6 linked regions of the Sus scrofa genome follow. The protein of the gene in region 1 interacts with the protein of each later gene in a pairwise test. Links are inferred from orthologs where the notes say so. Each region holds a gene or a part of one and is shown in the gene's direction. Other genes may lie near its edges.

Region 1 (3,500 bases):
TAGTCATTCTGTGAGCTGGCTCTTCCCATTTTTCAGATGAAGAAAGTGAGGCTCAGGGCCTTTAAGTGGATCACCCACTAGTAAGTGTAAGAATCATTATTTGAGGACGTCCCTGGTGTTTCAGTGGGTTAGGGGTCTGGTGTTGTCATTGTTTGTGGCTCTAGCTCGGGTTTGATCCCTGGATGCAGGCATGGCCAAAAAACAAAGGATCATTATTTACACCCAGGTCTTCCTGATTCCTTGGTTTGTGTTCTTCCCACTCTTCTGTGCTGCCTCTCTGTCTGCTGTCATTTTTAATCAATTTTTAATCACTTGCTAGCTGTCTCAGTTTGCTTTTGCCTTTTTCTTTAGGTTATTCTATATTCGTCGTTAAGGGTGACCTGCCAGACTGTGAAGCTGACCAACTCCTGCAGATGATCAGGGTCCAGCAGATGCAGCGACCAAAACTTATTGGAGAAGAATTAGCACAATTAAAAGAACAGAGGTAAAATGAAGCCTGCAGTGTGGAATATATGACAGTGTTTCATTACAAGGATTAAATTTTCATGCTTACATTGAAGGTGTGGTCCTCTTATTATTGGCGATTTTTTTTTTAGACCCTTATGTTTTAGTGAAGTTTATTGATTTAAACTTGGATCAACACTTTGAATTACTTAAATGTACTAACTAGAGTCACATCACAATACAACCTGTATATTATTAGACCTTATCTGCCAGAAAATGTGTAAGTTTTGACTTACATGAAAGTCTTTGGTGTATAGGTGTCTTTATGTTATATCTAAAATGGAAGACTGGTCTGCAGTTACTATTAGTGCCTTTATTCTTTAGGGTCCAGAAAACCGATCTGGAACGAGTCTTAGAAGCAAATGACGGGTCGGGAATGTTAGACGAAGATGAGGAGGATTTGCAGCGGGCTCTGGCCCTAAGTCGCCAGGAAATCGACATGGAAGATGAAGAGGCAGATCTCCGCAGGGCTATTCAGCTCAGTATGCAAGGTAAGGCTCTTCTGCCGCGCCTTCTATTTGTCGTTGAAGCGATTCAGCCCATCCTTCGTTCTTCTGGAAGTTAATGTACTCTTGGCAGAAGTTCTCTGACAAACCCTGCTGAAGCAATAGCTGGGTCAAATCAGTTATTTTTTAGATTTCTTTTAATGCAAGTAACCTTTTACAACCTGTGTTATATTAGGACTGGTTATACTTTTATTTCTAGTTATTCCATCTGGTTATAATACTGTGCTAACACAATAATGAACAGATTAGTTATTGTGAGGTCAGTGGACCCTTACCCAGACCAGCTGTTTTACAAATCTATACTATTAGGAATTCTCTTATGGTGCAGGGGGTTAAAGATGCAGCATTGTCACTGCAGCGGGTTGGATCACTGTTGTGGCTTAGGTTCAAACCCTGGCCTGGGAATTTCCATATACCATGGGCGCAGCCAAAAAAGAAAAAGAAATATGTGTGCTTAAGGACATGAAAAAAGGCCTGGGCAGAGAATATAAATCAGTTTTACAAAACTCTACCCCTTACTGGCTGTGCCACTTACAGCTTAAGCCCACTTTGAGGGGCCACATTTTAGCCGTTTACGCCCATCCGCTGAGAGTGCCCATCCTCCCCGGGGAGTCCAGGCGGAGGGCGATGTCCGGGACGTTGCTCGGAGGGGCTTTTTTTAAAGTGTGAGGGGTTTGCTTTTTTGAGGAGTTTTGTCTTTATCTAGTTATTATGAATTTATCTTCTACTTTCTAATGAAATTACTCAATCGAATTCCTTAAATATCTAAATAAAACTGAGTTTCTGCTCATATGAAGATTATCCTTTTTATGCTTTTTTTTTTTGTTTCTGGGGTTTTTTGGTTTTTTGTTTGTTTGTTTGTGTTTTGCCTTTTTACGGCCACACTCTCAGCATATGGAAGTTTGAGAATTGGAGCTACAGCTGCCGGCCACAACCACGGCCACAGCAATGTGGGATCCGAACCCTGTCTGCGACCTACACCACAGCTCATGGCAATGCCTGATTCCCGACCCACTGAATGAGGTCGGAGATCGAAGCGAAGCTGCACTCGGATTCATTGCTGCTGCTCACGAAGGGAACTCTTTTTTTTTTTTTTTTTTGGACTGAACCCATGGCATGTGGAATATGTGGAATTTCCTAGGCCAACAATCGAGTTCACGCCACAGTAATGGTTCTAGCCACTGAAGTGGCAATAGCAGAACCTTAACCTGCTGTACCGCAGGAGAACTCCTTTTTTTTTTTTTTTTTTTTTTTTTTGGCTCTTTAGGACCACACCCCTAGCATATGGAGGTTCCCAGGCTAGGGGTTGAATCAGAGCTGTAGCCACTGGCCCATACCAGAGCCACAGCAACACCAGATCCGAGCCTTGTCTGCAACCTACATCACAACTCATGGCAATGCCGGATCCTTAACCCATCCAGGGATCAAACCTGCGTCCTCATGGATACCAGTCAGATTCGTTTCCACTGAGCCATGACGGGAGCTCTAAGAAGTCCTTTTTATGCTGTACTTTATCCTGAACTGCCCATGCCTCCTGGCACACCTCACAGTATTCCATCCAGTGTGGAGGCCCATTTCAAATTGGTAGAGCCCTCCTAGATTAGCTCAGTGATGGACAGACACAGCTTTAATAGTTTTTGACATTTTTTGTGTGCTTTGCTCTTCTTCCCACTTTATTTCACAATTGTGCAGAATAGCTGCTTGGTGCTGTAATTCAGTAACATACCTCACGTGTTTAGTACCCACAGGTTTGAGCATAGAGGAATACAGAGAATGGGTTTGTTTTATGATCATGCTCTTTAAGGTACTTCTAGAAATTCCATGCCTTTGAAAGTATAGGAGCTCCTGTTATGGCGCAGCAGTAACAAACCTGACTAGTATCCATGAGAATCCGGGTTCAATCCCTGGCCACACACGGATCCACTGTTGCCATGAGCTACAGTGTAGGTCGCAGATGTGGCTCAGATCCTGTGTTGCTGTGGCTGTGGTGTAGGCCTGCAGCTGTAGCTCTGATTCAATCCCTAGCCTTAAAAAGAGGTGCAGCTGTGGTGGTAATGATTTTTCCTACCGAGTTGGTCTTTGGCTCCATCCTTACCGCTGCATCACAGATTGGGAAGAGCTTTGGTTGCAGTGGACACAGGTTAAATTGGAACTACCTTATCCAGATCTTCCCTGAGACTTTAGAGCCTTTCTTCTATTTACAAGATAGTAGCAGAATATTTTGGGGAAGGCAATTTTTCAAAAAGCTTCTTCACATAAATATAAACATATCACTGCTTGACTTGGTAAATAAAATTGTTTTTTTTTTCCCCATTTTATTCACAGGTACTTCCAGAAACATATCTCAAGATATTCCACAGACATCAGGTACACATCTTACTTCAGAAGAGCTGCGGAAGAGAAGAGAAGCCTACTTTGAAAAGTAAAGTAGTTGGTACAATATTAAAATTGCATATTTAATGTTTACTTGGGCTATTTTGTCTGTTTGTG
Region 2 (3,500 bases), on another chromosome or scaffold:
TTTTAATATTTTTAAAAATTTTTGACCAGTTAAATATTCTGCCAGGTGAATGCAAACAGGACACAGGAGATCACACTCCCCCCACTAGAGACCTATTGTCGGGGGTGCCTAGGTAGCTCCTTGCATGTGTTTGGTTTGTCTGTTCTCAGATGGAGTTTGATGAGAAGGACTTAAGACGGGAGATCAGCTATGCCATTAAGAACATCCATGGAGTCAGGCAAGTTCCATTCATGAGTCACCATGTTCCCATCATTTCCATGGTGCCACCCTGCAGCCAGTCAGTGCCCCCCCAAACCTCTGGGTGCCCCGATTGATTGTGAGACCTGGAAAGGGCTCCAGAGTGATTTGCAGTAGCTGTCAGTCTCTCCCTCTGGTCTCCAAGTTCACTCAAGTGTGTATGTGAGTAGTTCTGTGTGGATCTCTTGTATCCCCTTGGGCTGTCCACTGCTCTTGGGTTAAACATTGGTTAAACCTCCCAGTCACTGTGGTCAGGAAGTAAGAAAACTCACTGCAGATTTGCCCTGGGGGGCGGGGAATGGAAGGGAGCTGAGTCACTATTACAGGAACCCACCGGTGCCCCATGAGCCTCCTGGGTCCCCACCCTGTTCCGGCAAAAATCATGGCTCCCGGCCTCCAGTCTCTTGTTGCCAAGGGGTCCTCAGATCACCCCGGGGGGTTCCAGGTAGTGGATGCAAGCGTCTGACCCCCCCAGACTTGCTGTGACCTTGGCTTTCTCGGGAACCGGCCTGTGCCTGTGAAATTGCTGACCGTGCTTTGTTTCTCTCTGACTTATCTCCCCTGCCCCCGGGTACGGATGGTTTTAGGACCGGGCTCTTCACCCCGGACTTGGCATTCGAGGCCATTGTGAAAAAGCAGGTCGTCAAGCTGAAAGAGCCCTGTCTGAAATGTGTCGACCTGGTTATCCAGGAGCTAATCAATACAGTTAGGCAGTGTACCAGTAAGGTATTGGACCCTCGGCAGGGTGACTCCTGGCCTTGTGGAAACGGGGCTACGGGGGTTTGGTATCAGGCTCCCAGTGCTGCTTGGCCTTTGCCCTGCTGGTCCCCTCACCTCTCCTTCCCAGATTGCCTCGGTGTCCAAGAACGTGGCCTCTTCCCAGAGGCTGGGGCGGGCGCGTTTCGGCCTGGGTGCAACCGGGGGTGCCAGACCTCCAGATTCCAGACTGGTGGGCAGGGCGCCCTGGGACCTTGATACCAAGCTTAGCATGTATTGGATGGGGGTTTCGTCGCGCTGTCGCTTTGCTGTCTTCTGGGTAGCAGAGAGGGACCTTGTGTCACCTCCTGGAGGCCAAGCTCCCTACACCTCCCTGCCCATCACCCCTTCTTGACAAAGGTGTGGTGCTTTAAGCACTCCCCAGTCAGCCACTTCTCTGTCCCCGAGGCGCCGAGAAAGCCCGAATGCCAACAGCATAATGAGTGCTCTGTCTGGCTTGGCCCCTAATGGCCTCTGCCAGCTCCCCAGCACCGCCCCAGGGGCAGGGTTGTCCCCCTAGGCAGCCCGTCCTCTGATTCCCCTAGGTCACAGTCACCTGTGTGCCAGTGTTCACAGGCCACTGCCTCCACATGGCAGGACATACCAGCTTCCCCGCGGGCCTGGCTCCCAGGGCAGCACGCTTTGGCCGAGCAGCTGAAGTGCTTCCCAGCGGGCGGTCTATGCTTGCACATCCACCATGGCCGTAGAGCTCTGGGTCAGCCTTCCAAGGCCAGAATTTCTGCTTTGATCCTTCTGTACTCAGTCTGGAAAAGCCCACATTTGCTTCTTAAGCTTCTTCGATTGGAAGAGGGAGGGGAAAGAAACCCAGATGGTTTGGACATTATCGTCACATATAAGAAAATTCAAGGCCTCCCTATATCCATACCTGTTCGGTATGCCCACTCTGACCCATGGCACTTGTGTAATTAAAGCCCAGACCATGCCCACCCCTCAGACCCAGGACGCCTCTTGATCCAAAGCAGCTTCCGGGGCAAATGCGGGCACAGGCTCCTCCGTGCATGTCACTAACCAGCTGACTCTCGTTTCTTCTCTCTCTGTCTCCTGTCCCGCGTGTGTGGCCTGCACTGCCCCTGGGTGTCTCTCTGCCTCATCCCGCCCTCCGCATGACCCAGGACGGGGCTCTTCACCCCCGACATGGCCTTTGAAGCCATTGTGAAAAAACAGATTGTAAAACTCAAAGAGCCAAGTTTGAAGTGTGTTGATCTCGTGGTTTCAGAACTGGCCACGGTCATTAAAAAGTGTGCCGAGAAGGTAACCAAAGATTTCATTATTATCACCTGTGTACTCATCCCCCACCTTCTTCTTCCCATTGTTAGTCTTAACCCCGAGCATCTGGGAAACTCTGCCTCGGCAGGAACCCCCTTCCGTGGGCCAGTGGTACTTGGTGACCTCAGCTTTGCCTCGGCAGTAATGGTGTGGAGGGCATGTCCCATGGCGCATGGGTTCCACTTTTGCAGGTTGGGCCTCGGATGGAGGTAGAAAGCCTTTGTGGCCAGATGCATTTACTAAGCAAGCAACAGGGGTGAGGGCCCGTGCCCATCCCTGGAAAAGTGGGTTTCCAAACTGTCACCAGTGTGGTGAAACACGTTGCCAGCACGAAGACCTGTGTGTTCTTTTTTTTTTAGACCTGTGTGTTCTTACATCATGGGGCCTTTAAGAGGTTTTCCCACAGGTGATTTTGACCATTGGCTCAATTTTCCCTGATTCGTGGCCTCTCCCCAAACCGTGGAAGGTGGGCTTCTGTGTGTTGGGTTTGGTTACCACTGCACAGGCTGGGAGCCCCCAGGGTGTCTGGAGGAATGAAGCCCAAAGTGAGGTGATGGGGAATTTTCTTCAAGGGGGTCCCTCTGAGGTAGATGGCCCAGATGCTGCCTCCATCCTAGAAGGGGCCCTGCGCCCTCCCCGCCCTGGTAGCCCAGCGGCTTTCATTAAACTGTCCTGGCTCTCACCCAGCTGCTGCGTAGGAGGGGGGTAGCCATCACCCGCTGTCTCTGCCGTTTTCCACCTCGAATTGCATTCTCGAAAAGCACTTCTGCTTGTGCGTGGGCACCCTCTCCATCTCTCCAGCCCGCCGTCCCCCCACCTTCCCCTCCTGGTCTCCCAGCCAGAGCGCCTGTGAGACAGGAGCCAGGTGGGGACTCGGTGGGCCCACCCCCTGTCACCCCACCCCTATGTTTTTCCCTTTGGCTCATGTTGCCTCCCAGCCAATGCCGCCACTCTGATTTCCCCCCAGCTCAGCTCCTACCCCCGGCTGCGAGAGGAGACGGAACGAATCGTCACCACTTACATCCGGGAACGGGAGGGGAGAACCAAGGACCAGGTACTGGCCTTTTGTCTTCTTCAGGTACAATTCATATACAGGAAATGTTGGCTGTGCAGTTCTGTGAGTTTTGACAAACGCATACAGCAGGGTAACCCCCACCTCTCTCAACATACGAAGCAGTTCTGTTACCCCTCCAAACTCTCATCTTTGTGCCCCTTTGTCA
Region 3 (3,500 bases), on another chromosome or scaffold:
CCCATAAGCCTTGAACCCATGGCCTGAGGTGCACCTGGTACACAGAAAATTCCAATAACTTTTTGCAGAGTAATGTATGTACTTATAGAATCACTCTCCCCATTGGAGATTTTGAGAAGTCTAAATCGGTTTGACCATTTTGATTGATGGCACAATCTGGTTTAGAAAACTTTGTTTAGATCAGTAACATAACCTGCTACCTGTGCCTGCCCTTCCCCTCCCTTGTCCCATCCCCCTCTTCCCTTTCTGGTGTCTATACTTTGATGAAGGTGAGGTATGATGTTGGTTAACATAATCCAGAAGGCTTAGTTCTGTGTGTGTTCTGTCCCTATATAAATAGTTTAAAAGTTATGCAGAATGTTAACATAAGTATAAATTGGAGTTGGTGCTGCTGTTGATTCAAGGAAAAACTGAACTAGAATTTCTCTTTTTTAAGAAACGTTACTTCAAAATTAAATACATTAAAAAATTGATCTTTAATTCTTATATTGGCAAATCTGTTTACTGTTGAACAACACTGGCTTAAAATACTGCTTTGCATATTCTGCATAACTTAAAAAGTCTGGTGAAATCTTTATTGGAAGAAACAGTCATTTTACAACATGGAAAAATTTATGAATAACTTAGTAAAAAGTAAATTTAATCTTTTGATTAAATGAAGAATGTCATTCCATTATAAAGGTTTCACTTCTTTATGGATGTTTTAAATAGATGTAGACACTTGAAATTACTATCATCACGTCTCCAATCACCTAGAATTCTTAGTGTTTTTCGATTACAAAACCAATTTCAAGTTTATTCATCTTAATTCTTCAGAAGTAATAATTCTACTAATTTTACTACTTTGTTAGTAGAGGGGTTCCCTCCTTGTGGGTGGAGAAGTCTTTCCTGAAGCCATAGAAAAAATCATGGCTTTCCCCATAGGTTTTTCAACAGACTGTGAAGCAGTCGGTTGGATCCTTTGGGGCAGGACAAGGGCCTTCCCCTCTCCTCTTTTTTTATTGTGGTGTGGTGATGGTTTTCAGTGTCTTCTGCAGGTAAGGCACTCAATGTTGTTAACATGCCCTTTTTCATTGCCTCAGTATTTTGATATTTTCATTGGCTGTTAAACGTGGAAACTTTTTAACATGCTTTGTCGCATTTATATGCTACAGGTTACAAAGTGAGAGCCTTGTATACACTTCAATACTTAAAAAGTACCCGTACTCAGTACTCAGCCGGCAGCATAATGAAAAGTGGGACTAGACACGGTGTCCATATGGAGAGGAAAAATATACATAGAATATTTTTAACAAAATGTATTCATTGTATAAATGGAATCCTTCTGTAACTTTGGTAACTGCATACTTGTTGTTTGGTAATGAACCAGAGGAGGTATAATACTCTAGAATTGTGTAACATTAAAGTGTAAACTTTTGTGTTTAAAGAGAGAGAACATTTTATGGTGTGTACTTTTAAAAAGGAAACAAAGCTGCATGCAACAGCTTGAAATTGTATATTCAGGTATTAAAGGTGCAATACTGGTTAGAAAAAAGCTCAGGGCCTCCCACTGAGGAGCTGCCTTTATTTAATTTTACTTAATTTTAAAGAAAAACCAAAAAGGCCCGATTCGTATCTCTTCCCCCTTCCTTTAAATACATAAGGCAGTGATTTTATACTGCCATTGTCATTGTTCTCAACTGAAATGTCTATAAAGTTGCACCCCCAGTCTGTGAAGCCTTGGTATTTGTTGTACATTCTCCTTTCACAGCGATTGTTAAACCCATTAGTGCCCTGAAGTGTATGGCTTTATGCTGAAGATCTGCTGGATGCGTCCTCTGGTGTGTGTTGTAGGCCTTTACTGTGGTGTCTCCTGCTTTATTATACTGTGACTTGTTAGGAAGCCCAGGGCCTCACTTGGCTCTCCCTTGGGAGAGGTGAGGGTGCACCTTTATGAACATGGAAAGGTTCATCACAGCAGTTGCCCCAGCTTGCTACTCCTCTCCACACCAAGCTTTCCCTGTTTTTCAGCTGATGGGGTGGGTGTTTGGGATGTATTTTTCCCCCAATTTGCCATGTATTGCACTATTAATACCAGCCCCCGAAATGAAAGGAGCCAACCACACTGGTGTGTACAATCAGACAAGCAAGGTTGTATATAAAGGAAATTTGAGCAAGCTGCCCTGAAGAAAGGCATAGTGACAAGATGAGAGAGATGCATTGTTTGGAGATGTGTTAGCCAGTGCCCTTCTTCCCCACGAGCCCCCCCAAGGCTCAGAGCGGTACTGGCTTTTAAAGGGAAAGGCCTTCATTTCTTCGTTTATCCCCCCAGCAGCGCTGGAGAGCGAGGTGGCTTCAATAAGCCTGGTGGTAAGTTTTTGAGTATTACCATGGATAGTGTTAAAAAAAATACAGTCAGTTTTTAGAAAACTATAATTTTTTGTTAGTTTCATAAGCGGTTTAAAAATGATCTATACAAAAGAGACTAATGGGTACTGCCGGCATTGTCTTAGGGGTAATAAGGTTAACCTATGGTTACAAAACAAAGGGTAACTTGAAGTATTGAGCAACTGCTTCTGTAATATGGGGGAGAGTACATTTTTTTAAATTTGGTTTATTTGGAGGAAAAAAATTGATTTAAATTTAACACTAATTTGGCACATAAGCATTGCGAGTGTATTTGGTTAATGGTTTAAAAGCAAACCCTAGCAAACCTTTCACAGATGTTAAAGGGGCACTGCTCCATTTTAGCAGTGCGGGTCATTTTGAATTTAATGAAGCCCCATCAAATGGTGGTATAGTAGATAGTTATGTGTGTTTGTAAGGTTTGTAGCTTGCAAGACGTGCACTAATAATATTTTATATGATCTTTCCTGGTTGGCAGGACCCATGGATGAAGGACCAGATCTTGATTTAGGTAATTTTGAATTCCTGAATATTACATTGTGCGTTATAAACACATAGCACAAAAGTAAGTGCAGGTTTAAGTTCAGCAGCCTGGTAGATCATTGTGATATTCTTGCTGTCAGAGATGGTTTGGGGCTTCCTTTATCTTGAGTTACTACTCGTAATAACCTTAAAAAACAGCAGAGTAAAAAGAGTAAACCAAAAGTTCCTCGGCATCCTTGTTAGTATGGTTGGTAGTTCTCTTAGCTTTGTGGTGAATACCAGTGGGCAGTAGTGACCAGTTGGTTAATAAACCTCTGTGATACAGGGCAATAACTCCTTCTGTCTACTTTTCTCTGGAAGGCCCGCCTGTAGATCCAGATGAAGACTCTGACAACAGTGCAATTTATGTGCAAGGATTAAATGACAATGTGACTCTAGATGATCTGGCGGACTTCTTTAAGCAGTGTGGAGTTGTGAAGGTAAGTAAAAGCATAACCTTGTGATCTGGCAGATCTTCCAGCCACAGAATATAAAAGAATTGACTTGAGTTTCTGGAGTTGTTTGACTTTTCCTTTTGGGCCATCCATATTGTGATTTGCTCCTTAAAATAACAGTAACAACAAAAAAAGTCA
Region 4 (3,500 bases), on another chromosome or scaffold:
AGCAAGGGGTCTAGAATCAGGCTGCCCTGGCTTTGAGTAATGGCTTCATTTTATTACTCTCTGAAATTGGAAAAATCACTTAATTTCTGTGAGCTTGTTTTCTCATCAGAGAAATAAAACCAATAATGTGGTTGCTGGGTTAGGAAGATTACGTGAGATAATGCTGGTAAAGCACATAGCACAGTGCTTGGTTAAAAACAGGTGCTCTATAAATTATATTTAAAAAATTATACTTAACCTTTAGACATTATCCTTAACGAGTTCCTGTTGTGGCATAGTAGAAAGGAATCCAACTAGAAACCATGAGGTTGTGGGTTCGATCCCTGGTCTCACTCAGTGGGTAAAGGATCCTGCGTTGCAGTGAGCTGTAGTACAGGTTGCAGAGGCAGCTTGGATCCCCTGTTGCTGTGGCTGTGGCTTAGGCCAGCAGCTCTAGCTCCAGTTCGACCCCTAGCCTGGGAACCATCATATGCTGCTAGTGCCGCCCTAAGAAGCAAAATAATAATAATCAACCATATCCTTAAAGTTAAAAATGACTTATCTTTGAACTCATCATCTGAAATCATATGCCTCTCTTTGCTCCCAAGCCCACCTCCCTCCAAGATGTTTTTCCTTTGATTGGGATCCGTTCCTTCCCATCTGCATACCTGTTCCCCAAGTCCATGAGTGCTGGCTCTTCTGCCTGTTAGGAAGACAAGCTGCCTTGCTTGCCTCTACCCTTCTTTTAAGACATTGATCCCTTTTTAAGAAGGTGTAGCTAAACTACTAGTTGACATCCTGGGAAACCACCTTAATACTGTTCACTGTTTTGTTTTGTTTTTTTAATGACCACACCTGCAGCATATGGAAGTTCCCAGGCCAGGGACTGAATCCACGCTGCAGCTGTGACTTAAACCACAGCTATGGCAATGCTGGATTCTTAACCGACTTGCACCGGGACGGGGATTAAACCTGTGTTTCTTCAGTGACCCAAGCCACTACGGTCAGATTCTTAACCTACTGTGCCACTATGGGAAGTCCCCACACTGTGTATTTCTGTGACCACTCTTGATCCAAGTCCAAATGCCATGGGGCTGAAGCCAGATATATTTCCTTCTGAACTGGGCCTGGTGGCCACAGTCCTCTTAGGAGGACCTAGGGGACTAATTCTCTGTATCATCCTTGGGAGAGTTGACTATTTCTGACCTCATTAATTGTCCCTTATTTAAAAATCCTATAGCTAGGAGTTCCCATCATGGTGCAGCAGAAATGAATCCAACTAGGAACCATGAGGTCACGGGTTCCTTCGCTGGCCTCGCTCAGTGGGTTAAAGGTCTGGCGTTGCCGTGAGCTATGGTGTAGGTTGGATCTGGCATTGCTGTGGCTGTGGTGTAGACTGGCAGCTGTAGCCCTGATTAGACCCCTAGCCTGGGAACCTCCATATGCCCCAGGGATGGCCCTCAAAAGCAAAAAAAAAAAAAGAAAGAAAGAAAATCCTATAGCTGGAGTTCCCGACGTGGCTCAGTGGTTAATGAATCCGACTAGGAACCATGAGGTTGTGGGTTCGATCCCTGGCCTTGTTCAGTGGGTTGAGGATCTGGCGTTGCCGTGATCTGTGGTGTTCGTTGCAGACACGGCTCGGATCCCACGTTGCTGTGGCTCTGGCGTAGGCCGGCGGCTACAGCTCTGATTCGACCCCTAGCCTGGGAACCTCCATGTGCCACAGGAGCGGCCCAAGAAATGGCAAAAAGACAAAAAGAAAAAAGAAAAAAAAGAAAATCCTATAGCTAAACTTTTATTTTGGTATAATTGTAGGCTTACCTACCTGTGTTTTAAGAGTAAGTCTTCCAGCCACCGTCTCCAGTGATCTGTGAGCCCATCGTGCACAGCCTGGTGTTAAAAAGTATCTTTGTTTTTCAGTGGCGTGCATTTCAATTCTCAAGCCATAGCTCCCACCATTGAGCAGATTGACCAGTCTTTTGGTGCAACCCATCCTGGAGGTAAGCCAAGTCCATCTGATTCCTCTGGTCATCTGTAGCAGCCCACATTAATAAACCTGGCAAATGGTGCCAGCCCAAGCCCCCAAAGCCACGTTTCTCTAGGATGTGGGGGTTGGTCCTTGTGAAGGAAAGCACCTGCCCCTTGTTTTCTCCTAGTAGGTCAATTCAGAAAGGAGACACAAGGAAGGTGTTGCTAGTCATTACTTCCTGCCAGACTGGTTTGTGTTTGCAACTTCTGATGCCACTCATCCATGTCATTTTCTTCTCACTCCCACAGTGTACAACTCTGCTGAGCAGCTCTTCCATCTCAACTTCAGAGGACTGTCTTTCTCTTTTCAGCTAGACTCATGGATTGAGGCTCCCAAGTACGAGGTTAGCTCTTCTCTTTGCTTGATATTGTTGCTTAGTGCCCAGGTGATAAAGGTCAGCAGACTGTGCCGTTGGAGGATGCTGGATAGATACCCTTTCTTTGGTTTCCTCATTCTGAGGTCTTTAGGGGCCAAAGGGATGGAGTGGGTGAAGTTGACAGAACAAAGCCAAAGCTGGCATTCCCAGAAAGAGGGTGCTTCCAACTAAAAAGTGAGCTTGACCCCACTTTTCAGAAGTATATCCATGTCATGTGCTTTTTTGTTTGTTTGTTTTGTTTTTAAGGCCTCACTTGTGGCATATGGAAGTTCCCAGGCTAGGGGTCAAATCAGAGCTTCATCTGCCAGCCTACACCACAGCCACAGCAACTCAGGATCCAATCCTTGTCTGCGACCTACACCACAGCTCACAGCAACACCAATCCTTAACCCACTGACCAAGGCCAGGGATTGAACCCGTGTCCTCATGAATACTAATTGGGTTCCTTACCACTGAGCCATAATGGAACTCCCATGTCATGTGCTTTAAAACTCCAAATACCCCAGTTTTTCTTAATGGTCTTATAATTTGAGAGATTTTATCCTTAGGTATCAGCATCCTTACAGTTATGAAATAATTAAAGATGAAATTGCATGGGAGTTCCTGCTGTGGCGCAGTGGGTTAAGGATCCAGTTGCAGTGGCTCAGAGTCAGTCTCTGGCCTGGAAACTCCATATGCTGCGATGCAGCCATTTAAAAAAAAAAAAAAAAAAAAGATTGGCATTCCCATTGTGGCTCAGCAGGTTAAGAACTTGACATAGTGTCCATGAGGATGCAGGTTTGATCCCTGGCCTCACTCAATGGGTTAAGGATCCAGTGTTGCTAGAAGCTGCAGCGTAGGTTACAGATGCAGCTTGAATCTGGTGTTGCTGTGGCTGTGGTGTAGGCCAGCAGCTGCAGCTCCTATTCAGCCCCTAGCTGGGAACTTCCATATGCTTCAGGTGTGGCCCGAAAAAGGGGAAAAAAAGATAAATAAAAATAAGAAAATTTTTAAAAATTAAAAAAAAAAAAAGAACTTTACTTGGAGGTAGTTTGGACTGTGTGCTTTGGCCTGACCAGTTCTTAAAGACCATGAGTTTTGGGGAAATGCCAGAGCCTGAGCCCCATGGCCTCCCGT
Region 5 (4,287 bases), on another chromosome or scaffold:
ATTGGTTATGCCCTCGCTGTGAACCTGCAAAAGGGGAGTCATTGGGTTGTTTCCTTCAGATATGACAAGGGTAGGGCAGTAGAAACACAAATTGGAACTACAGGGTTTTTCTGTTTCCTTCACTTGTGAAATTTCTTTTTTTCCTTTTCTTTTTTTTTTTAGGACCCTACCCCTGGCATATGGAGGTTCCCACGCTAGGGGTCAAAACAGAGCTCCAGCTGCCGGCCTACCCACACTCATAGCAACAGCAACCAGATCTGTGCCCTGTCTGCAACCTACATCACAGCTCCCAGAAATGGATCCCTAACCCACTGACTGAGACTAGGGATTGAACCCACAACCTCATGGATACTAGTAGGGTTTGTAACGTGCTGAGCCACAAGGGGACCTCCCAACTTATGACATTTCTGACTCTTTAATAACCAGTGGGCAACATTGTTTACTTTTCTTTCCCCCCTCGCTCCTCTCCTCCCTCTCTTCCTTCCTCTAACCCCTTCCTTTTTCTCCCATCCCCTTTTTTCTTTCAAAGCCTTTCTCTCCTCTTTCTCTAATTCTCCACACCTGCACACTTCTCACAACAATTGCGCTATGTTTCAGTGTTGCACTATACTCCCTCACTTTTAGTGATTTTCACCCCGGCCCTCTGAACTGCATCCCTAGAACTTAATGCCCGCACTGTGCCACCAGGAGGCTCAGACTCTCGATGGAGGGCAAAGGTCAATTGGGCGGTGCCTTTGATTGACGTCACTATGGGGGGAGGAGCTTTCCAAGCGTTAGTTACTGGCACTGCAGGGCCGTGGTCGGTCACAGAGAGCATTGTGCTGTCAGCGGTCCTGGCTGAGGTGAGTAGTCTTTGTAGGAGCGTCAGATGCAGGTTAGTTGGATGGGTTCTAACTAGCAAGAAGATGTGACCCGTTAGGTCAGCACCTTTTAAAGTGATCCTGAGGCGACAGTTTTGAACTATGGCGCTGACTCTCGGATGAAGGAAGGTGGGCGAAGGCAGGATTTTTGGACTTGGATGAAGTATGGGGGAGCGTTGCGGGATCACTGAAAACGGAATATGATAGATGCTGTAGTTTGGATTTGAAGGACCTAAAATCGGTTGAAGGCTGACGGTTGGTGACTGTGGGGGCGGGGAGCTGAGGCGCTAGGCAGGTCTGTGAGAGCGGGAAAAAGGAGTGTCAGTGATTGGTTGCTTTGAACGTATGGACCAGGCGGTCCAATCACAGGGTACCCCAAGTCCCGATTTTCGTGTTGCCGGGCAGATTGTCCTAAGAAGAGACTTGGGATGAAAATTTCCTCTAGCCCGGGTTCATGTGGCCGGGCAACCTGGTCCTGCCTCTCATAACTGCTTTTTTCTTGGGTTTTAAAATTTTCACAGCATTTTTTCTTTTGGTTAACAAGTAATAAGAAAAAATTGAAATTTATTGAGAAACTGGAAGATGAGTTACAGAATATTAAAGTATTTTCTTATTTCATAGGCCTGACCGAGAGATATTAAAAATGGACGATATTGATTTTCGTTTCATGGACTTTAAAGGTATATAGCTTATATATGGTAGAAAATGTCAATCTGTTTGCTGACTTATGTAAGATCTTCTAAATGAATTTCCTTGCCTAATTTTATCTTTCTGGAATATCTATAAAACCAGTTTTTCTCATTTTGGTACCAGAAAACAGGGTGGATGTTTAAGACGCTGGAGCCCTTTTATAAGTTAGTGTAGGGAAATAGAATTCATAATAATTCACAATTCATAGCTTATTTTCTTTGGATTTTTATGGCATGCAAAGTGACACTGGATTAATTTGACATAGAAATTTATTGTGTTAAAAATACATTAAAAATTACTGTTAGGTCCTGAAGTGCCTTTCCATAATCATCAGTAAAAAATAAATTAGGAGTTCCCTGGTAGCTCAGTGGGTTAAGGATCTGGCATTGTCACTGCTGTGGCTTGGGTTGCTGCTGTGGCACCCGTTCCATCCCTGGCCCTGGAACTTCTGCATGCCTTGGGCGTGGCCAAAATAAATTGAAGTATAGTTGATTTACAATGTTGTGTTAGTTTCAGATGTATAGTACAGTGGCTCATATATATGTAGTATATATATGTATATATATGTAGTATCTTAATTCTTTTGAAAATTAGTATTCTATGTATGAATTCTTAGTAAACAAAAGTTATTTGATTGACTAGAACACCAGATTCCTTAACCATGCCAGGTATGGGAGAGTTTATCACATTTCATTTTTTCTGGGGATATGATCAGATCTGATTTCATATAATAGTGAAATATGTTGTAACCAAGGTGGCTACAAATCTATGATTTCAGAAAGTTTAGGTCAATAGTTTGTTAGCACTTGTCATTTTGAAGCAATAACAAAGCCCACTACCAGCTACCTTAAATTTTAATTTAGGTTATAGTATCTTAAAAATATAAATATTAAATAGAGATTATGACTTTTAAGTATATTTTTTTTAGACATTGTGTTTAAATAAATATTTGAAGCACAGAGAAAAGGAGAATAATATAATGAATACCTATGTAACTACCACTGAGTTTTGTTGAATCTTAATAGTTTTCCATATGCTTCAGATGTTTTGCTGTTCCAAAGAACTTAAAAGATTAATGTACCTGTTTTTCGTCTTTTAAAATATTGCATAAATTGTATCATTTTGTATGATTTTTATTTCCCCTGCAACTTGTGTTTTTTGCTCAGTATTATGTTTTGGATATTTACCCATGTGGATATTTTAGTTCTAGTTCATTTATTTACACTATTGATTAGCACTATTACATTTAATGTGAGTGTACCACAATTTATCCAATCTACTTTGTTGGATGTATGAGTTGTTTCAAATATTTGCTATTACAAACAACAGCATGACAACTAACACTATTTTGGAGAGTTTATCAAGAGCTTTCAAACATTTTGACCACCACCTATGGCAAGGAAATGTATTTTACATCACAGTATATCAAAAGTTTAATGAAATCATTTTAACCTTATTACATGCAGTGCACTATGATGTGTAATATTCTATACCTTTTCATTTTAAAAAATGTTACTTATGACTCACTAAATTATTTCTTGAGCACCAGTGTGTGAGGCTCTAGGGCAGTGCTGACCAATTGAAATGTAATGCAAACATAAATAATTTTATATTTTCTAGTACCACTTTAAAAAAGGTTAAATAGGGGAGTTCCTGTCATGGCTCAGTGGTGAACGAATCCAACTAGGAACCATGAGGTTGTGGGTTCGATCCCTGGCCTTGCTCAGTGGGTTAAGGATCTGGCGTTGCCGTAAGCTGTGGTGTAAGTTGAAGACGTGACTTGGATCTGGCGTTGCTGTGGCTCTGGTATAGGCTGGTGGCTACAGCTCCGATTTGACCCCTAGCCTGGGAACCTCCATATGCCATGGGTGCAGCCCTAGAAAAGACAAAAAAAAAAAAAAAAAAAAAGACAAAAATAAAAAATAGAAAAGGTTAAATAGGGAATTTCCCAGTGGCCTAGTGGTTAAGGATCCGATTGTCACTGCTTTGGTGCAGATTGGATCCCTGGCCTGGGAACTTCCATATGTTGAGGGTGTGGCCAAAAAAAGGAAGAAAAAAATTAATTTTAATAATATAAATTATTTAGCTAAGTATGTCTAAAATGTTATAATTTCAATACGTAATCAATATAAAATTATTAATGAAATATTTTACATTATTTGTTTTCTTTCTGTACAAAGTCTTTTAAGTCCGATATGTGTTTTATCCATCTATTTATTTATTTTTATGGCCGCACGTGCAGCATATGGAAATTCTCAGGCTAGGGGTCAAATTGGAGCTGCAACTGAGGCCTACGCCACAGCCACAGCCATACCAGATCTGAGCAGCATCTGCAACCTGTGCTGTAGCTTGTGGTAATGCCAGATCCTTAACCCACTGAGTGGGGCCAGTAGGGCCAGGGATTGAACCCGCATCCTCATAGAGACTGTATCAGGTCCTTAACCAGCTGAGCCACAATGGGAACTTCTGATATGTATTTTATACTTAAAGCATATCTCATTTTGGACTTGCCATGTTTCTTTTTTTTGGTCTGTACCCTTGGCATATGGAAGTTCCCTGGCCAGGGATTGAATCCCAGCTGCAGCTATGACCTACACTGTAGCTGTGGCAATGCCAGATCCTTAACCCACTGCACCAGGCCTGAGGGCAAACCTGTGCTGCCACAGAGACAACACTGGGTTCTTAAACTGCTGTGCCACAGTGAGAACTCCTGGACTTGCTTTTTTGTTTTTTGTTT
Region 6 (3,500 bases), on another chromosome or scaffold:
ATTTTCAAGTAACAAATTTGTATTAGTGTTACATTTGTTTGTAGCTTTCAGAGATCATGTCATAATGTAATATTTTGTCATAATGCATTATTTTACTTTGTAATATATTTAGCCCAAAGCAGTGACAACACCAGCACCGGCTACAACTCAGCAATCAAATTCTGCCACCACTACCACAGTTAGTTCCTCCACAGCACCAGCTGCGGCTCAGGCCCCAACCCCAGCCCCTGCTTTGGCTCCTACTCCCACTCCTGCATCCATCACCCCAGCATCAACGACAGCATCTTCTGAACCTGCACCTGCTAGTGCAACGAAACAAGAGAAACCTGCAGAAAAGCCAGCAGAAACACCAGTGGCTACTAGCCCAACATCAACTGACAGGTAAGAACTGGGTGTTAGGAAGTTGTATCTTGGAATATGTTCAGTATAAGAACTTCATGAATTTATTTTGATTGTTTTTTTTTTTTTTTTTTTTTTTTTTGGTCAAACTAACTTTCTGTCTACTATGTTAAACATTTTCTAAACTCTGAACTCCTGACTGACTAAAACATTATGCCTCTGTTTAAATTTCCATAATCTAGATTTATATACTCTGCATCATTTCCCCTGCCGCCCTCCCCCTGCCCCCTGGAGGGAAAAGAGAAAAAGGGTCAGAGTTGTTATTCATTTCATATACAAAAGTTAGGAAATGACCAAAAAAAGAAGTATATGAGTTCCCCTGTGCCTCAGTGGGTTAAGGATCCAGTGTTGTCACAGCAATAACATGTGTTCAGTCCCTGGCCTGGGAACTGCTGCATGCCACCAGTGTGGCCAAAAAAAGGAAAGAGGAATTATGACATTATATTATAGCTTGGCATAAATAACTTGACATCATCCCCCAGTCATTATTTATATTGATCTATATTATTTCTGACCATTGTCGTGTATATATATATATATATATATATATAAAATAAACATCCTTCTATGTCAGAATTTTTCCATCTGCTACATAGTTTTGTGTTTGGGGATGACATTTGTTAGATCTTAGGAAAGAAATTAATATCTTTGGATTTTCTTCTTCGTCTGTAAAATGTGGATATCAGCAGGACTTACTTCATGGAGTTGTTCTAAGGATTAAATAATAAGTATGAAAGATGTGAAGTAGCGCATGGCACACAGTAAATGCTGAGTATATTTTTTTGTGAACTTGTGTAGAAATTTATGTTTTTGCCCATGTAGCTCTTCAGAAACAAAAGAAAAAGTGCTGGGACATTTTGGGAACAAGAAATAAGTTCTTGTGGGAAGGTGGCAGTTAGGATTATTGAGTAATTTATGACAAAGATTTTTTCCCCCTAATGATAAATAAAATAACCAAAGCAAATGCTTCAGTTCTCCTGGCTGGAAATCGTACAGGGGAATCTCTTCTATCTGAGAGCATGAATTGTATTCTTTCCAGAGTGAGCTGGCACCGAAGCTGTTTGTGTTTTATGGCTTTGGTGTAGCACAGGACCTCAATGGCAGTAAAGTCCTGGAATCAGAACCAGACATAGTGGAAAACTATGCAGCAGTTGGAAACATGGACACAGAAGGATGTCTGTGATAAATACACCAATCAAAAAACTTCAGTCACGATCCTTCATTTTAGTGTTTTGCCTTTGAGTGAGGTTGCGTCAGCTTTGTTGAGAGGGGTTTGAGTCACCTGGTTCATTGCTCACTCAGGCCTCTTTTCAAGGAATTAATTGCCTAAGAGGAGAACACGGATTCAGGTGATAAAATATTTTCCCTGTGTCTGCCTGCTGCACTTTGCTTTAGGCATTCTGAGACACCATTGCCTAACTTGATACTTCTTGCAGGTACAGCTAGAAATGCACACAACACTAATTACCTAGGGGGAGACAACCCAGGGTCAGGTTATGCTATTACATCAAAAGGCTATTACATTTGTTCTGTGTCTGGGAGGGAACTTATAAATTTAGCAAATTGGTTTTCCAAATCATTTAAATATTGTAAACTTAATTAAATATGTCGAGTTGGTTCAGTATATCTTCTTTTCTTTAAGCTCCTGTTAAAAACCTCATATCATGAGAATTCCTGAATTGATCAATACCTTTTAATGTGCTAATAGCATCAATTCGGTTATCATCTCTTATTTCTTATTGAGGGTTCAGTTTTATTTACCTGTTCTCAAGCATCATGAACCTTTTCAGACCTATAGAGGTTGCATAAGGGAGTTGATGATCAGGAAAGCAGACTGCAGAGTTGCCTCCTTACTTGAGCTTTGTACACCATCCCTTTACTCTTATTCCCCAGAGTTATACACCTCAGAGAAGGATAGCACAGGAAGGGAAGGATGAAGGAAGCTCAGAAAACTAGCTGCTTAAATGTACCTTAGTCACTTCATTTGTGCTGTAAAACATTTAATGTCTTGTAAAGCACAGAACTCAATGAGACATGCCAATGTGAATTTGAGGAGTGTCAAGAAGTTTTTTTTACCACCTGGCCTGACATTTCATTGTTAGGGATTTGTTTCTCTAGGTCAGTTTTGTCTTTAAAAACCACCTATTACAATGCAGATTTCACTTGTTGATATCTGTGTTAGAGAAACTGCACTTTTTTGCACTAGGGCTGTATTGTTTGTAATTGAAGACAAATTGGAATCAACCTAAAGATCCACTAATAAGGGAATGGCTTGATTTTGTGATTTGTTCATATTGGGGAATTGTGCTATTATTCATAGTGTGGTAGTAAACAAACAGTATCAACATCACAGGGAGTTTGATGTTTGAAATTAATTCTTAGGCTCCCTAGAATTATCTGGGGTAGGTCCCAGAAGTCTGAATTTTAACAATCTCTCTTGGTGAATTCTTAAGCTTTCTAAAGTTTGAAGAGCTCTGATATCCAGTAATAGAAGGCAGTTAAAGTATGCAGTACATATTTCAAGGCTTTGTTACCAAGTGAAAAAAGCAGATTTGCAGAACAATACAGGCAGTAACCCTAAACCAAACAAAAGCCACATAACATCATTGCATATTTTCTGTGGTTAAGCATATTAATATGTAGAAAAACAGTAGCAGAGGGACAGCACACTAACTGATAAAGTGGTTTCCTCCGCGGACAGGGAAGGGAGAAGTATTGAGGCAAAAGAATCAAGATTGAAGAATGGTGGTTAAACATCATTTCAGTCTTATCTGTAATGTTTTAAAAGAAATTCTAAAACAAAGTGCAAAAATAGCACAAATTTTCTATAAAAGAACAGTAATGAAGGGGACTATTTCTGTGAGATAGAATTAATTATTAGTACTATACATGGTGATGATTACAACTTAGAATGGCTTTTGGAGTTCCCGTCATGGCGCAGTGGTTAACGAATCCGACTAGGAATCATGAGGTTGCGGGTTCGGTCCCTGCCCTTGCTCAGTGGGTTAATGATCCGGCATTGCCGTGAGCTGTGGTGTAGGTTGCAGACGCGGCTCGGATCCCACGTTGCTGTGGCTCTGGCGTAGGCCAATGGCTACAGC

The links.
Region 2: the proteins of ATXN3 (region 1) and DNM2 interact in binary tests that used the Homo sapiens proteins (3 or more experiments, as listed by UniProt). The link is inferred for Sus scrofa from reciprocal best matches to the Homo sapiens genes ATXN3 and DNM2.
Region 3: the proteins of ATXN3 (region 1) and EWSR1 interact in binary tests that used the Homo sapiens proteins (3 or more experiments, as listed by UniProt). The link is inferred for Sus scrofa from reciprocal best matches to the Homo sapiens genes ATXN3 and EWSR1.
Region 4: the proteins of ATXN3 (region 1) and C6H16orf70 interact in binary tests that used the Homo sapiens proteins (3 or more experiments, as listed by UniProt). The link is inferred for Sus scrofa from reciprocal best matches to the Homo sapiens genes ATXN3 and PHAF1.
Region 5: the proteins of ATXN3 (region 1) and TEX11 interact in binary tests that used the Homo sapiens proteins (3 or more experiments, as listed by UniProt). The link is inferred for Sus scrofa from reciprocal best matches to the Homo sapiens genes ATXN3 and TEX11.
Region 6: the proteins of ATXN3 (region 1) and RAD23B interact in a two-hybrid assay, tested with the Homo sapiens proteins (2 studies listed by BioGRID and IntAct). The link is inferred for Sus scrofa from reciprocal best matches to the Homo sapiens genes ATXN3 and RAD23B.

What each region holds. Positions count from the first base shown.
Region 1 is NC_010449.5:113,625,273-113,628,772, reverse strand, and holds part of ATXN3 (ataxin-3), read left to right. Parts: intron 1-351; coding exon 352-484; intron 485-828; coding exon 829-995; intron 996-3,335; coding exon 3,336-3,432; intron 3,433-3,500. UniProt on the Homo sapiens protein: Deubiquitinating enzyme involved in protein homeostasis maintenance, transcription, cytoskeleton regulation, myogenesis and degradation of misfolded chaperone substrates.
Region 2 is NC_010444.4:69,540,012-69,543,511, forward strand, and holds part of DNM2 (dynamin-2), read left to right. Parts: intron 1-149; coding exon 150-217; intron 218-824; coding exon 825-963; intron 964-2,126; coding exon of another isoform or gene 2,127-2,265; intron 2,266-3,247; coding exon 3,248-3,334; intron 3,335-3,500. UniProt on the Homo sapiens protein: Catalyzes the hydrolysis of GTP and utilizes this energy to mediate vesicle scission at plasma membrane during endocytosis and filament remodeling at many actin structures during organization of the actin cytoskeleton.
Region 3 is NC_010456.5:46,429,223-46,432,722, forward strand, and holds part of EWSR1 (RNA-binding protein EWS), read left to right. Parts: intron 1-2,311; coding exon 2,312-2,349; intron 2,350-2,863; coding exon 2,864-2,896; intron 2,897-3,228; coding exon 3,229-3,347; intron 3,348-3,500. UniProt on the Homo sapiens protein: Binds to ssRNA containing the consensus sequence 5'-AGGUAA-3'. Might normally function as a transcriptional repressor. EWS-fusion-proteins (EFPS) may play a role in the tumorigenic process.
Region 4 is NC_010448.4:27,778,076-27,781,575, forward strand, and holds part of C6H16orf70 (UPF0183 protein C16orf70 homolog), read left to right. Parts: intron 1-1,899; coding exon 1,900-1,979; intron 1,980-2,256; coding exon 2,257-2,351; intron 2,352-3,500. UniProt on the Homo sapiens protein: Plays a regulatory role in autophagic activity. In complex with BCAS3, associates with the autophagosome formation site during both non-selective and selective autophagy.
Region 5 is NC_010461.5:56,922,305-56,926,591, reverse strand, and holds the start of TEX11 (testis-expressed protein 11), read left to right. Parts: upstream 1-1,487; 5' UTR 1,488-1,503; coding exon 1,504-1,540; intron 1,541-4,287. UniProt on the Homo sapiens protein: Regulator of crossing-over during meiosis. Involved in initiation and/or maintenance of chromosome synapsis and formation of crossovers.
Region 6 is NC_010443.5:248,468,491-248,471,990, forward strand, and holds part of RAD23B (UV excision repair protein RAD23 homolog B), read left to right. Parts: intron 1-112; coding exon 113-381; intron 382-3,500. UniProt on the Homo sapiens protein: Multiubiquitin chain receptor involved in modulation of proteasomal degradation. Binds to polyubiquitin chains.